Caenorhabditis elegans: one gene and its partner. The protein of the gene in region 2 interacts with the protein of the main gene of each other region in a pairwise test. Each region holds a gene or a part of one and is shown on either strand. Other genes may lie near its edges. The genes, in order: osm-3 and ift-81.

Evidence for each region.
Region 1: the proteins of ift-81 (region 2) and osm-3 interact in a two-hybrid assay, tested with the Caenorhabditis elegans proteins (one study listed by BioGRID).

Annotation. Positions count from the first base shown.
Region 1 is NC_003282.8:3,794,801-3,802,589, forward strand, and holds osm-3 (Osmotic avoidance abnormal protein 3), read right to left. Parts: upstream 5,648-7,789; coding exon 5,576-5,647; intron 4,299-5,575; coding exon 4,152-4,298; intron 4,102-4,151; coding exon 3,910-4,101; intron 3,870-3,909; coding exon 3,678-3,869; intron 3,630-3,677; coding exon 3,366-3,629; intron 3,091-3,365; coding exon 2,541-3,090; intron 2,493-2,540; coding exon 2,389-2,492; intron 2,345-2,388; coding exon 2,077-2,344; intron 1,942-2,076; coding exon 1,774-1,941; intron 1,729-1,773; coding exon 1,586-1,728; downstream 1-1,585. Other genes in the region: K09B3.1 (ShKT domain-containing protein), read left to right, coding at 1-20, 393-543, 834-1,033, 1,082-1,141, 1,189-1,323, 1,366-1,454; algn-14 (UDP-N-acetylglucosamine transferase subunit ALG14), read right to left, coding at 7,193-7,478. UniProt on the Caenorhabditis elegans protein: Kinesin motor protein which is required for the anterograde intraflagellar transport (IFT) along the middle segment of the sensory neuron cilia together with the kinesin II motor complex (composed of klp-11, klp-20 and kap-1) and on its own, is required for IFT along the distal segment.
Region 2 is NC_003284.9:5,295,919-5,302,217, reverse strand, and holds the start of ift-81 (Intraflagellar transport protein 81 homolog), read right to left. Parts: upstream 3,658-6,299; 5' UTR 3,587-3,657; intron 3,554-3,586; 5' UTR 3,523-3,553; intron 3,492-3,522; 5' UTR 3,469-3,491; coding exon 3,338-3,468; intron 2,745-3,337; coding exon 2,625-2,744; intron 2,568-2,624; coding exon 2,444-2,567; intron 2,172-2,443; coding exon 2,091-2,171; intron 2,004-2,090; coding exon 1,849-2,003; intron 1,085-1,848; coding exon 1,000-1,084; intron 763-999; coding exon 658-762; intron 600-657; coding exon 456-599; intron 449-455; exon of another isoform or gene 428-448; intron 1-427. Other genes in the region: ags-3 (Tetratricopeptide repeat protein 28), read left to right, coding at 4,192-4,264, 4,320-4,470, 4,518-4,653, 5,261-5,406, 5,455-5,578.

The DNA of each region.
Region 1 (7,789 bases), on a different chromosome or scaffold from region 2:
GCGGTTGGTCTTATTACTAGGTGAGAATTTTCAATTTTTTAGACTTAACAGTCTAAAAAGTATCTCCGCGGTCATGCAAGCTATCAAAAAAGTGTCAACTAATCAAATGTTGGAAATGTTTAATAATTAGTTTTTGAGTTAACAATATTTTTATATCATGAATAGGCACATAGACACAGATGCTACTTACCTCTAGTTTCGAGTCCCAGACAGTAATCTCACAATAGTGATAATAATATCTTTTATTAATGAGAATGCTATGAAGAGTAGTAAATACAAGAGACCGTTGGTCAGAGAGAGATGCTCAATGGCTAGGCATTAGGACTAGAACTATACCGGCTGATAAGCCGCAGTAATCAAACTATAGGTCCACACAACATCCTTTTTTTCAGCACTATGTTTCTCCTGCTCTTTTGCTCAATATGGCCTCTATGGTAGCGGATATAATGGCTATGGAGGGTACGGTAGCGGCTATGGAACTGGGTACGGAATGGGCTATGGAATGGGCTATCCAATGAATCCGTATATGAATCAGGTTTATGGGTGAGATTTTTTAAAGTTTAACTTTGAGCGAGTATATCTCTGCGTGGGTTGGAACTACAGAAAAGTTGTCAGTTGTCAACTGAAAATTGGCAGCCCTTGAATTTTTTTTGTTAGTTGACAACTTTTTTCTAGTTCTCACTGTTGCGGAGCTATAACAGTTTCCCGTCACGCGCGGTACATGAGCGAGAGAGACTCAAAAAGACGCAGAAAGGTCAGGCGCTCTAGCTTCTCTCTCATCTCTCCCTTCCTTTCTCTTCCACACTTCTCGCATATCTCATCTGTTCGTTTAGAACCGACGCGACAGAAATTACCCAACCCAACCCAAATCCTCCAACTGAAAACCAACGCGACTGCCGCGGCCTGCCTTCCATGAGATCACGGAGTCTTTGCAGGTATGGTAGCAATCCGATGATGTCCGGTGGCGGCGGGATGTATGGAGCTGGCGGATGCATGGATCTGAGCCCTCAATGCTCCGTTTGGGCGAGCACAGGTAGACCGAAGCATAAAGTTCTAGCAGAAATTTTGTAGTTTTTTTCAGGCCAATGCTCTACAAATCCAATGATGATGCGGCAGACGTGTGCAATGTCCTGTGGAACTTGTAAGTAGTCGTTCAGGGCGTGCGCTACTATTAGAGTTTTGTTTCAGGCAGCACAGGTGTTGGAGCTCTCGGGTCCATGGGGTCCTACAACCCATTTGGAGGGTACGGAGGGATGGGATACCCCCAAGCCGGTTTGTTAGACCCCCTTGCTCAATTCATCGGGAGATCGATTTACGAAACTGGTGAGGCTTAGAGCGCACTTGCAACCTTAAAATTTTCTTCAGGGATCCTCCGACAACCAACTCCATCGAGTAGTTCCAAGAGCATTGGTATACTGACGAAAGCGAAAAGTGAGCAGTTGCCGAGCCGGTGATCAACTGGATTAGAATCTATTTATGCTACCTGTATAAAATTGATAAAGATCTCACATTCATTAATTTTATTCTCGATATCACCCGTGCAAACTATTCAGCAAATTTCTAAACATCACAATGTACACACGAATTATTTGGGATTCAGAGAGGCTAGTCGAGGTGGTCGTTTTGCAGATTGAGCCCGCTCGTAGAGAGCATCAGTGTAGACGACTCCGTTGACAAGACCATCGAATGTTGGGGTCTTGGATGGAAATAGCGATTTGGAAGTTGATACTGAAACTTTTTGACTTTTTGCAAGGTCTAAGGGGTCTAACTCACATTTTTGATCACTCTTGTACTTGTTGATCACATTGATCTGCTTCACTGGCTTGAAGTAGCTGTTTGCCAGGTTTTCCGAGTCACTTTTCGCTAGCCGCTCGCGTAGTTTGTCGTCAAAGTTAGACCGTAATAAGGTGTTCTCTTGCCGAGCAGGTTCTTGCATATAACCTGAAAGATGGAAGAATAAAGCAATCCCAAATTGCTAGAATAATCGGCCGCTTTTTGGCAATCCCGCCTTACATGTTTCTTGGAAAAGCTCAGGCTTAGCAGTGAGGCCTGCAATCTAATCAAATCCAGACCTACCATTATTAGCCAACGGCAGAATAGTCCGACTCATCGACATTTCCGGCAAAATCCATCGACTCTCGTCTTCATTCCACACCGCCTCCTTCTTTATCCGATCCACGTTACTATAATTCGTATCTTTCTTGATGATCGGCTGGATTTTGTCCATAATCTGCATAAGGAGCTTCAACTGCTGGTCCTGCTTCCGAATTGTGTCTAGATAATCGAGACGATCCAGTTCGAATTCGCCGTGGAGATCCTCGATTTCTCGCTCGTAACCTTTGGACTGAAACATTCCACTATTCACTTTGTAAAACTGGAGGGACTTACTTTCTTGACTTCCTTCTCCAGTTGAGAAGTAACTGCGTCAAGTTTTTCTTGAGTAGTACTGTAGACTTGAAGCAGAGGATCATCCTTATGAACGTTTAACGCGGCTGAAACTTACTGCGTGCAAGACTTGCTGAAGTTCTAGAAGTTCTTACCTGCCAACTTCTGCGTTTTAGTCTCTGCCTCCTTCAGCTGCTTCATCCGTTTTTGCTTCAGCTGAGTATTGCCTGCTTCTTCTCCTCCAATAAACTGATCTTGGAGCTGTTGGATCTTCTTCGCCGCTTCTTCCGGATTCAAGTTGTCTAAATTCGCATTAGCCCTTTCATAGTCTGCTCTCAAGGACTCCAGGTCCTTCTGTAGCTCCGCTTTACTCGTCTGCTCCCGCTCATACTCGCCACGCAAGTCGTTCATCGCCTCCTCGAATTCTTCCCGTAGCTTCTTCCTCTCCTCTTCTATCGAGAAAGCGTCCTGCGCAGGAGCGCCAACTCCAACGGCCCCCGGTTGAACCATAGACTTGAGCCGAGCGATTTCCTCCTGGTACTCTCGAAGAAGAGCATCCTTTGGATCCTCGTTGATCGTCGGCTTGTTCTTGATGTTCTTGGCACGGTTGGCATATCGAAGTGTGGAGAGAGTCTCGTCGTAGTTGTCACTGGATGGGGACACGCAGGCGATCATAATGGTCTTTGTGTTACCACCAAGAGAATCCTGGAAAATTTGAGTTGGATAAGCGTCCTAGGTCGCAGGATCGACAGTGGCTTGGATCGTTGGGTTCTAGCTTAGGCCTTCTCCCTACGTCACCTACAGCCTAGGCTAGCACTTCCATTAATTGTGGTCCACAAATACCTTATGACTATGGTCTGGATCCCTACCGTCACTTATCATATTAGCATACATTTCCTACCGCGCTAGACTTCAGGACCTAGGCTCAAATGGCCCGGCCCAACAACCACCTCATCATCTCAAAAATGAATCGTCCTTACCTGTAACAACCTAGTCAGCTTACTGTCCCTGTAGGGTATATGCTTCGACTTTCCGTCCACCAACGCCGATATCACATTACCCAACGCCGACAGCGATAGGTTAATCTTCGTGGCCTCCTTCAAACGGTCACCGGTGGCTCCTGTCTTGCTCTGCCGCTCACTTCCAGCCAAATCGACCAGATTCAACTTTCCCATCCTGATCGATCCGGTTTCTGTCATGCCTTCCACGTATACCGTGAAGATTGAGTGACTTCGGGAAGAGTCCTGAACATAGAAATTGAGGTCAGGTCAAAGAGTCAGGTCAAGGGCCACCTTGTTCATCAACGTGGCGCCGACGTGCCGATTGTTGAAGCCCCGAGTCATCAGCTCCTTGCAAGCCGGGACATCATGACAAACATGCATGGAGAGGCCCGCCACATAGACACCCCGATCCGGTTGCTCTTTGATCTCCAGTTTTTGTTTATTGTCGGCGCCCAGCAAGTCTCTAACCTCTTCGTTGTAAATCTAAAGCAAAATTTAAGGGAAGGGATCAAAAATCTGAAACCTCTAAATAGCTGCAGTGCACCAGGAATTTCACATTTTCCGTCGTAGCCGTGGCGGTGAATATGTGATCAAAAGCCCGTGGAATCACACCCCGTTGAGCTGGAATTGTTTCGATGCCCTGCATGGAGAAAGTCTTGCCCGATCCAGTTTGGCCATAGGCAAACACAGTGCCATTGTAGCCTTCTATCACGTTCTGTACGGTTTTTAGAAGCTTTGGTAGGAGAAATCTTCAAATTTTCTCACCTCAACTAGCGGAAAGACAATATCATTGTAAATCTGCTCGCCGGTCGAATCCATAAAGTAGGCTCCATCGAACGTGAAGTCCTTGGCCGCCCCGTCCGGCGCGTTCAGGTTGACCTGTCCAACGTTCGGAGTCATTCCGACGCATAGCTGGAAATTTTGAAACATTTTAGGGTTCCTAGAAGAAAATTGTCAATTTCTAGCGCTTTTCAGTCTCTAGTGCCCTAGAAGAAGACCCCTAGTCCCCCAGAAAACTTTGTAGAGTTTCCTACAATTCCCACGGTTTCGCACCAGAGTTCTCACGCCTACGAAGTGAATATTTGCCTATTTTCGTAATAAAAATAAACGGATATTACCTAAGCATGTATCGGATATTATAGTCTAGAGGGAAACAGTAACCCAAAAACATTAAAACATGTTTTCCCGGAAATTACGGGGGTAAATCGTATAGTAGACAATAATAAGGAAGTAAACGGAACTACGTGACATCTTTTTTCATGGCCGAAAAATAGGAAAACTCGGCCACCATGTTTAAACCAAAAATAAATATTCAAGTTTTATTACGTTTTTTCATTCACATGTGTCCAGTGAAGCAGGTGATGTGGGGAGGGGGAAACATGCGCTTTTTCACAAGTTTTCCGAATACCTTTTTACTTTTTAGTCAGCAATTATGTACGGCTTCTTCAAAGAAAACATTGTTTATGACGTTCAAATTTATTAAAGATATCATTCGAACTTTTCCTAGCTCCAGCTAACTCTTTTAAAACAGCAGGAAAAAAGCCTCAAAACTACAATAACTAGCTCTCAATCGCTGTGAGACCCTCGGCCTGTAAAATTTAAATTCTGACATCGAAAGGTTATTATCAATTTTTTCTAGATTTTAGGTTAATTTTGCCGACAAAGTACACAATTTCTATTAAAAATCAGGAAAATCGAACAAAAAAATGATCGAAAAATACAGAAAATTGAGCAAAAATTCATTTTTTTTGTAAACTGTGCGCCTTTAAAGAGTAGTGTAATTTTTATCGACTTTGTGAATTTTTATCGAATTTGTGAAATTTATGTAGCAGTTTTTCAATAAATAAATGTATTTTTTTGAAAATTCCAAAAAAAAACGAGAGTTCAAAATTACAGTATTCTTTAAAGGCGCACGCCCGTTTGTATTTTACAAAAAATGTCGTTTCAAGACCTGGCACTGTAATAGGAAAACACTGAAAAGTAATAATATACTCAAAATTTAGAATTTTCCCAATTTCGAATGATTTTGGCTAATTAAAAAGAAGAACTTCGCCGAAAATTCCACATTTTCTCAATTTTTTCGGGTTTTTCTGGGAAATTTTAATTTTTTTGCGCTTTAAATATTCGATTTAGGCCTAAATTGTTTGATTTTCAGCTGGTTTTTCTGAAAATCCAATCAAAAAACCAACCGTCGTATTCAGGTCCTTTTCTCTCTGATTGAACGGACGACATCTTACGGCGACCCGGACGCTCTCTGCCATACAGTTGGTGGGAGCTTAAATATTGAAAAATGTTCCGAAAAAAAATTCCGAAAAAAATTTTTTTTTTCACATAAATCGACGTAATAAAACATGTGAAGAGCTCAAAGGTTGAAAATTTTCGGAAAAAAAAATTTCAAAAAAAAAACGACGTAGTAAAAAATAAAACGAAAAGAGTTTGGTGTCGCGCGGAGCAACGAGCATATACACCACTGCTGCTCCGAGAGCAAAGGAATGAGTGGAGGGAGGTGGCGCCTAGCAACCAGATATTGTTATGCTTCTTCTTTTTCTTTCGAGCCACGCTGCCGCTAGGGTTGAGGGAATTGAATTATATACGATTGTTTCAATAAAAGCTGCCGTCGATTTTGATATTTCCGCATTGCTGATTGGTTTTTGGCTGAAAAATGACTGGAATTTGAAAGTCATATAAATTCAAACGGAAATTAGTTTTGGAAATATTGAAATGGCGGGAATGTACAAGAAATGGGCGTATAAAGCACAATAGAGACAAGTAAAGCTAGAAAATACATACAAGAATCGGTTAAAGTTTTGGTTAAAAATATCGGGAAAATCGAAGTTTTTGGGTTTTTTTGTGTAGAAAAAATTGACCAGAAATTTCGGATTTTCAGGCAAATTTAATTTTTTACAAAAAATTTTTAAGAAAATTGAATTTTAGCCGGATTTTAAGCTTTTTTCGTGAAAATTTCAAAAAATCTAGATTTTCAGCCAAAATTAACGAATTTTCCGATTTAGAAAAATCCAAATTTTTAATGACATTTTTATTACTTCTTTTTCGAAAAAAAAGTACCGTATATTCTCTATTAGTGCGGCACCCCACCACTCAACTTTGACAGCTCATATCTCGGTCACCTTTGATTTTGGTAAAAAGTCTTTAACTACGGAAATGTTTGTTAAAACTCCTTCTATGCTTAATGTTTTAAAAGGTCTTAATATCTTCAAAATCAATCAAGACATATGACGTCAAAGGTGAGCGATGGGGGTGCCGCACTAATAGAGAATATACGGTAGTTTTACGAATTTTTTTGAAAAATTCAAATTTCTTGAAATTTTTTCAGATTTTCCACTAAAAAATCATTTTCAGATTTTTTAAAAAACATTTTCGATTTTTTACCGAATTTTGAAGCAAACCTCGATTTTCAATGATTTTTTAGAGGAAATCCGTAAAAAAACGTGAATTTTTGGAAAAAAATCTGAAAAAAAATCGATAAAAAATTGTAAAATTTAATCTGCAAAAAAATTAATTAAAAAAAAATCTAACTTTTGCTGAATTTTTAAAAAGGTGAAATTCATTTTGTTTTGAAAAAAAAACGAATTTTCCAAAATTTGCAAAAATCACAAAAATCATTTTTTCCAAATTTCCATCTTTCTGTGTTTTTTTAATTAAAAGGTTTTTTCTCTAGAAAATTGAAAAGTTTTCTTCAAAACACTAAAAATTTTGGAAAATATAGTTTTTTTTTCAAAATTTCAAAATTTTTCCGACATTTAAAAACAAAATCCCCCCTAAAATTGACACATAAATTAATATTTTTATTGAGATTTTTTCTCCGAGCCATCCAACGTGAATTTGTGCTCCAAATCCTGAATATACGTGGCTCTTGGATACGATTTCTTGAGCCCCGGCCAATGCACAATCAGGCAGTCGACCATTCCGAGATAATACAAAATTGCACCGGATAAGGAGAGCTTTTTCACTCGGCAAATCGATTCTTCGTAGATAATAACTGTATCGATTAGGCGAATTATGTCGAAGAAGGCGGCCGCCAAGGCGACTGGGATACAGGTTCCAGGCCCGTTGAGCACGATTAGATCCGGACTGAAAATTGGCGATTTTGAGTGGAAAATTGAGTTTTTAGAGTGAAAATTGATGGAAAAATGTCGAATTTTCAGTTAGGACAGCTAAAATTGGCTAAAAATTGATTTATTTTGACTGAAAATGGTCATTTTTTGAGCCAAAAAGCAATAAAAATGTGATTTTCAGTGTTAAAATTAGCTTAGAATGTCTAATTTTATAATAAAATTCTCAGAAATGTGATTTTCAGAGTCAAAATTATTGATTTTAACTGAAAGTGACCAATTTCCAGTTCAAAAATGCGACTTTCATAATTGAAATTAGCTTAAAAATCT
Region 2 (6,299 bases):
GTTTTTTAACATCAATGTAGTTTTTATTCCCGCTAATTTTTGTTTACAAAAAATTTGAATTTCCTATCAAAATTTTTTTCAGAAAAACTTTATTGCCAAGTTTGTTTTCCTAGAAAATTTGAAAATCCCACAGAAAAAAATTCCCGAGAAAATTTTAATTTCCGCGAAAAAATTTTTCGGAATACTTAAATTTTTCGCCAAATTTTTTTCCCAGAAAATTTGAAGTTCCCGCTAAAACTTTTAATTTTCGCTAACAACTTGCTTTCGAAATTTTGTATTTCGGGCAACGTATCTGTGTAGTAGCCGTGCTCCAATAGCATTAATTCCTTTTTTAATGGTAATTTAATTAAAACGTGAGGTCAGTGTTGCATATATACTGTCGGCTGCACATTTATCATAAAATTCCCCAAAGTTAAATCTGCAGAGATCTTTAAGCCTGGTATCTTTAAGCTTACCTCAGAATTCATTCTACTGACATCCTCTTCCCGCACTGAATTGGACCTTGCCATGGCTGTCAGCTCTTTCAACTTGTTTTCCTTTGATTCAATTTCTTGAAACAACTTGCCATTCACTAAGTAAGTGTTCGTCGCAACTTCGTCCTAAGAAACCCTCTGTCGTCATTAGATAGGAGAAGACGAGAAAAATAAGTCTAGTAACCTCTAATTTTTCCATTAACGCCTGTTCATCCAATGTGTCAGCGACCGCTTGAGCCTCCGTCAAATTGATTTTCATTCGGTTGATTCTGGCTTCGATGTTCAGGACCTAAACAGAAAAGAATTTCTGATTTTTGATGCTCGCTGCGCCAAAAAAACGCAGTAAGAAGGAAGAAGCCGCACACTCGAGAACAAAAAAATTGCACTCGCTATTTCTGTACTTCTTCTTTCATTTTTTGTCAGGAGAGCAAAAAAAAATTACGTCGGAGATAAAGAAAAAGGAAAATATTTCACTCGGTCTATTTTTGATTTTGAGATAAAAAAATGGAATTCCCAAAGAACCAACCTTCTGCCGTTCTTGTTGTTTTTCAATTGCAAAATCTGCATATCGGGTTTTCTCTCCGCGTAATTGTAATGCAAGTTGCATTTGTCTGAAAACGATTGGCTATTTTGAAAAATGCCAAAATTTATGTTTTATTTTTATACTAAATTCATTTTATTTTATTTTTTATTTTTATAATTTACGCTAAAGAACTCCCTTACTTACGTTTATATGAAAAACGGACAATTTTCCGCAAATTTCTATCTGCACTTGCATAGCGCTCGTTATTTAGCAAAAAGCTTGTAAATTTATTGTTTTCTACTTAATTATGATTGAAGCAGACTTTATCGTACTTGTAGTAAAAATATGAGCCTTATATTCAATTTTTTTGACAATGAGTCAAACCAGAGCTTAAAAGCAATACCGATACAGGCCAAAAGCTTTGCTCAAAAATTGCTTTAAAAATATATTAGCAATGTAAATGTGTTAGAAACTAACAAGAATGATCGGAAATATCCATCTTATCAGCTTATAAAGTTTACAGCTCTAAAGTTTCAAGTGAGCTGTTTTTTTACCTTCAATGTTTTGAAATATGTAAAATCAGGCAAAATACAAATTTCAAAAAAAAATCAAAAAAAATAAAGAAAAAAATCTGAGCTCATTTGCCGGGCTTTTTCAGTTTTTCTGAGGTTTTCTAACACGATGAATTCAGATAGCAAATTCACTTGTCAGTGAAAACTTTTATTAGTTTTCTATTGTTAAACGAATTTTCCTTTTTTTCGCATAAAACAAGTAATTAATTAAATTTTGACTACATTTTCCTGTTATTTTTGAACAATTTTTTTTTGAAGTTTTCACATTATTTGAACTTACTTATCAAAATATGGTATATTCTGCACTTTCTTCTCGGTCTTCTCAATCTTTCGGAGCAAAATTTGTTTTTCTTTTTCCATTGACTTTAAATCCTCTTTTATGTCATCAAGCAAGAGTACGTCTGCCATTATTCCTTTCATTTCAGCATGGATTTCCTGTAGAAAAGTTGTTTTGTTTTTTTTTGTTTTTGCTTTTTTTTTGCTCATCCACTATCGTGACGACTAATCTCTCATGTGATTAACCTTAAACTCCATTGTCAACTCTCCAATCTCATTTTGCAGCTCTTCAATATCATAATCGAAGAATTCTCCAGGTACATCTGTCTGAAAATAATTAATTTACGTATTTCCAATTACAAAAAAGTGCGAAGCTGTTTAGCCATTTCTTGATTCATTAATTCAATGTGTACCTAGATCAGAGACTAACTAAACCAAAAACTTCGGCTGTCTTGCCTACTATATCAGCTATTCAAGCAGAACGATGCTTGTTCTCTATGTATCATTTTTCTTTTAAAAAAAATAATGACAACATCTATTTCTCTCCCCCCAGAAACCACTAGCATAACATGTCGGCTTTTGGCATAGCAATTCATTACCTTCATCAAATATTTTGACAAATATGCGCGCTCTTTCAAACCTTCTGAGTTTTCAAAAAGAAAAACCAGAAGAGGATAGAGGCTAGTCTTGCGACCTTCGACAATCCCTGCACGCCATTCTTCCCTGTAATATAATGTCAAATTAGATGCTGTTTAGTGATTGCCCTCGTTTTGCACGAACTGTTCATCCTGGTCTTGCGGTGGTCTGTAGCGGAGAATTCGGAGCATATTCAGAATACGAATTGCAGTCTCTTCAGCAGCCTCTCTTTTGATATCAATTCGGTCCGTGTCGGAAACCCAGCTGAACATTTTAAAAATTTTCGTTGTTCTTATATTATTAAATTCAATTTTATCAGTGAGAGCATTTATGTGTTTGTAAAAAATTTATTCAAATTTTTCTTAATTTTTTTATGACTTTTGAAATTTTGCAAACAAATAAGAAAGAACCGAATTTTTTGAACATTCTACCCAAGTGGACCTGCTGATACCCCTTTTCTTTATTGTTGTGTCAAATTTTTTTTAAATTTACACAGCAATCTATAAAATAATTACTTTCAATAGAAAGTTTAAGAAGATTGCTCAAAAACTGACATTAGTATCAGTTTGCCAACCAGCAAATTTAACACGCACATTGTAACTTTGTGCCTTTTTTTGAGCAACATCCAAAAGTACAATTAAAGGTAAAGCTATTTTTAGAAATTAAAAAAATTTATTTATATTTCTTTGAAAAATTCTTGAAAAAATAACGATACAATAATAATAAAGTAGCTGTTTTTTAATTGTCACAAAAAATGTAGCACACGTTTCTGGAAAATTTTTGTGAATATTTTAAACACCATAACTGTTTTTTCTCGATATCGCATTTTTTAAATTTCTTTTTTTGACTTAACCAACCTCAAAACATTACTCAAAATTTGGAGCAACTGCTGCGGTGGTAATTGGTCGAATTGAAGTGATGATAAGTTGAGATTGAACGGCTCTTCATTCAAAAAGTGGAGAATAAACCCTTGAATATCGTTCGACATCTTAAGGATACACCGTTAGTGATGACAATAAACGCGAGCTCGTCGAGCAGCGCTCCCGGTTACCAGGGCAACACGACGTAAATATATGTTGTTGCTGGGCTCTTTGCTATGTGAGTGTGAAATGTTTCAAGTAGTATTGAAAAGGGAACAGAAGTTGAACAAGTTGAATCAGTTTGTTGGTAATTAACTGTGGTTAGAGATTTGTTTTGAGTGAGTGGTAATTAAATGTGAACTTTTGATACTCTAAGGTAATAATTTATATTTTTCATATGAGAGTTTTTTTTTGAGTAATGTATCTTTTAAGACTATCAGTTTATATTCCTTTGTCATTTTAAATTAACAAATATTTTGCTCGAAACAATACTTCCTAGCCGTCTTTACACAAATGACGTCAACGCGCGGTTACTAGCTCATCTGTCGTGAGGAGTGAACGAGAGAGCTGCCGCAGACATAGCAAGGACGTTTCTTTCCATGTACTGAGAGCGGCCGTGCAACGAACAAACAGAGGAGTTTGTTGGTCCGTACTCGTTCGAATAAATCATTCAAATACCTTTTTTTCTACATTGACCACCCTTTCTGTTCTGAAAGACCACATTTCGATTCTTCTTTCTCAATCTTAATCGCTTGTGTTTCTCTCCTTTTTTCTAGTATTGTGCAGATTTCTGAAATCTTTGTCATCGAAGAATATCAATCGATTTTTTTTTTGCAGCGGGGAAAGGTGCGATGCAGGACCGTTCCTGCTACAAGCTCACACAGGAAGGGGAACGTCTTTTTCGCATGCAAAAGTATGAGAAAGGTAACTTCTTTTTTATTATTATTTGTAAATAATTGATTGAATTTGAATATTTCAGGCATCGACTTGTTGAAAAAAGCGTTGGAAGTAGGCACAGATGATTTTTCATTACTCTCGGCTATCTATTGTCAGCTCGGAAATGCACACACAATGCTTAAAGATTATGAGCAAGCTCTCAAGTTCCATACGTATGACATTCTTGTTGAAAGGTAACGAATGCGAAAGAAATTTAAACAAAAAATAAACAAAATTTCAGATTGCTTGGAAACAAGGAGGGAGAAGCAAAGTCGTGTGCCAACTTGGGAAATATATTCAAGATGAAAGGCGCTTACAACGACGCGCTCACCTTCACATTCAAACAGCTGGATTTTGCCGAAGAGTTGGGCGATAGAGTGAGTAGAACTTGATTTTGTACTTGAAAAAAAAATGCACCCGTTGCTATACCAACAGGAGATTTATTATTTTCGTGCTAGCAAACATGTACAAAGTTCCATCTTAAATTTTCTTCGAAGTTTCCAACATAAACCATAGTTACAAGGAAAGTATTTCAGCCTACAATGAGACTTCTGAATGAAATCTATGTCATTTGAAAGGGGACCTGCAAACTAGGTTACCACAAAAAATTTAGCGGCAGAAGAGCACGTTGAACTACCATAAAAACCATCTGAAAAGGATCAATATTTAATAGAGCTGTGAAATTGCATCCAATGTTGATTTTTGCGAACTTCTAGTGGTTTTCGGAAAGTTTACAGGTATGCAAACATTCTGGAAGCTTGAAACATTTCTCGATCGAGTTGGGTGAAAAAGTTTCAGATGTTTTCAAATAAAAATGTATATTCCAAAAGATTCCAGAATGCTTGCCTAGAAACTTGTTAGAAGCAGCTGTGAATATTGCTATGAAATATTTCAGCTTTTCAAAATAAGGCACAACGCAATTATTCAAGAATGAAACTCCTAATTGCATTCAGATAATTTACACTTTCCATTTAAAAAATTCAGGTTCTCAAATCTCGAGCTTATTACAACATTGCGACGATTTATGTGGAGCGAGGGCGATGCACAAAACTGGAAGCTGCTGAAGAGAAAAATGACGCCAAAAATGCAGAAGCCACTTCGGATTTTGAGAATGCTGCCAAGTACTTTATGTGAGTTCATTACTTCAATCTTCCTAATAAAGATTTTAAAATTTGCAGGCTAAATCTGGAGATGTCGGAAAAATCGGAAGATGCGCTGACGATGGGGCGATGCTACGGCAGCTTAGGAAATACTTATTATTGCCTTGGAGACTATGACCAATCTATCCACTTTCATAAACTTGTGAGTTTTTATTGAAAATACGTAAGAACCCTTTTTCGGAACGGATGTGATGATGCAATGTCGCGTGGTTTGTGGTTCAAACCGGAAATCTAGTTTTTTTTTTGCCTTCAACGCGTAGATCAAAAGTTTATGAGGATATTTTTATTTCTATTTTACCTTTTAAGGCCAATCTCGTTTTCCAAGTTTCAAGCTTAGGAGTTTTTTACTTTCACCACGTGATTATCGAGTTTCCGAAACCTAATGCTCATTTCCGATCACATTACAGACAGAAAACGCTGTTTGTTTTTGTCAGGTGAATAGGAAAGCTAGACGTCCAATTTTCTCAAAAAAAATTTTCTCCATTTTTCAACCAAACAACAAAGTTCAAATTTCAGTTGCTACGGGCGTGTGACCTTGAATTTGTAAATCATTCAGTTATACTCTGAACTTCCCGGTCCCTGTTTTTTTCTAAAGAAAAACATGAAGCCAATCAGGACTGCGAAAATGTTGTTTTTTATTCGAATAATGAAATTTGAGGAACACAGAAACCTAAGAAAAAAGAACTGGACATATATCATAGAACGTTGGGTTTTGAGCATTCACTTCCTTTTACTTCTTGCCAGATTGAATTTTTAATTTGAGAAACTTTTGACAAACCTCTTGTCTTTCTTTTCATTTTTTGTTTCTCTACTTTGAAATAAGTCCAAGCAGGTCTTGAGACTCACGTCAGAAAAGTCAAAGA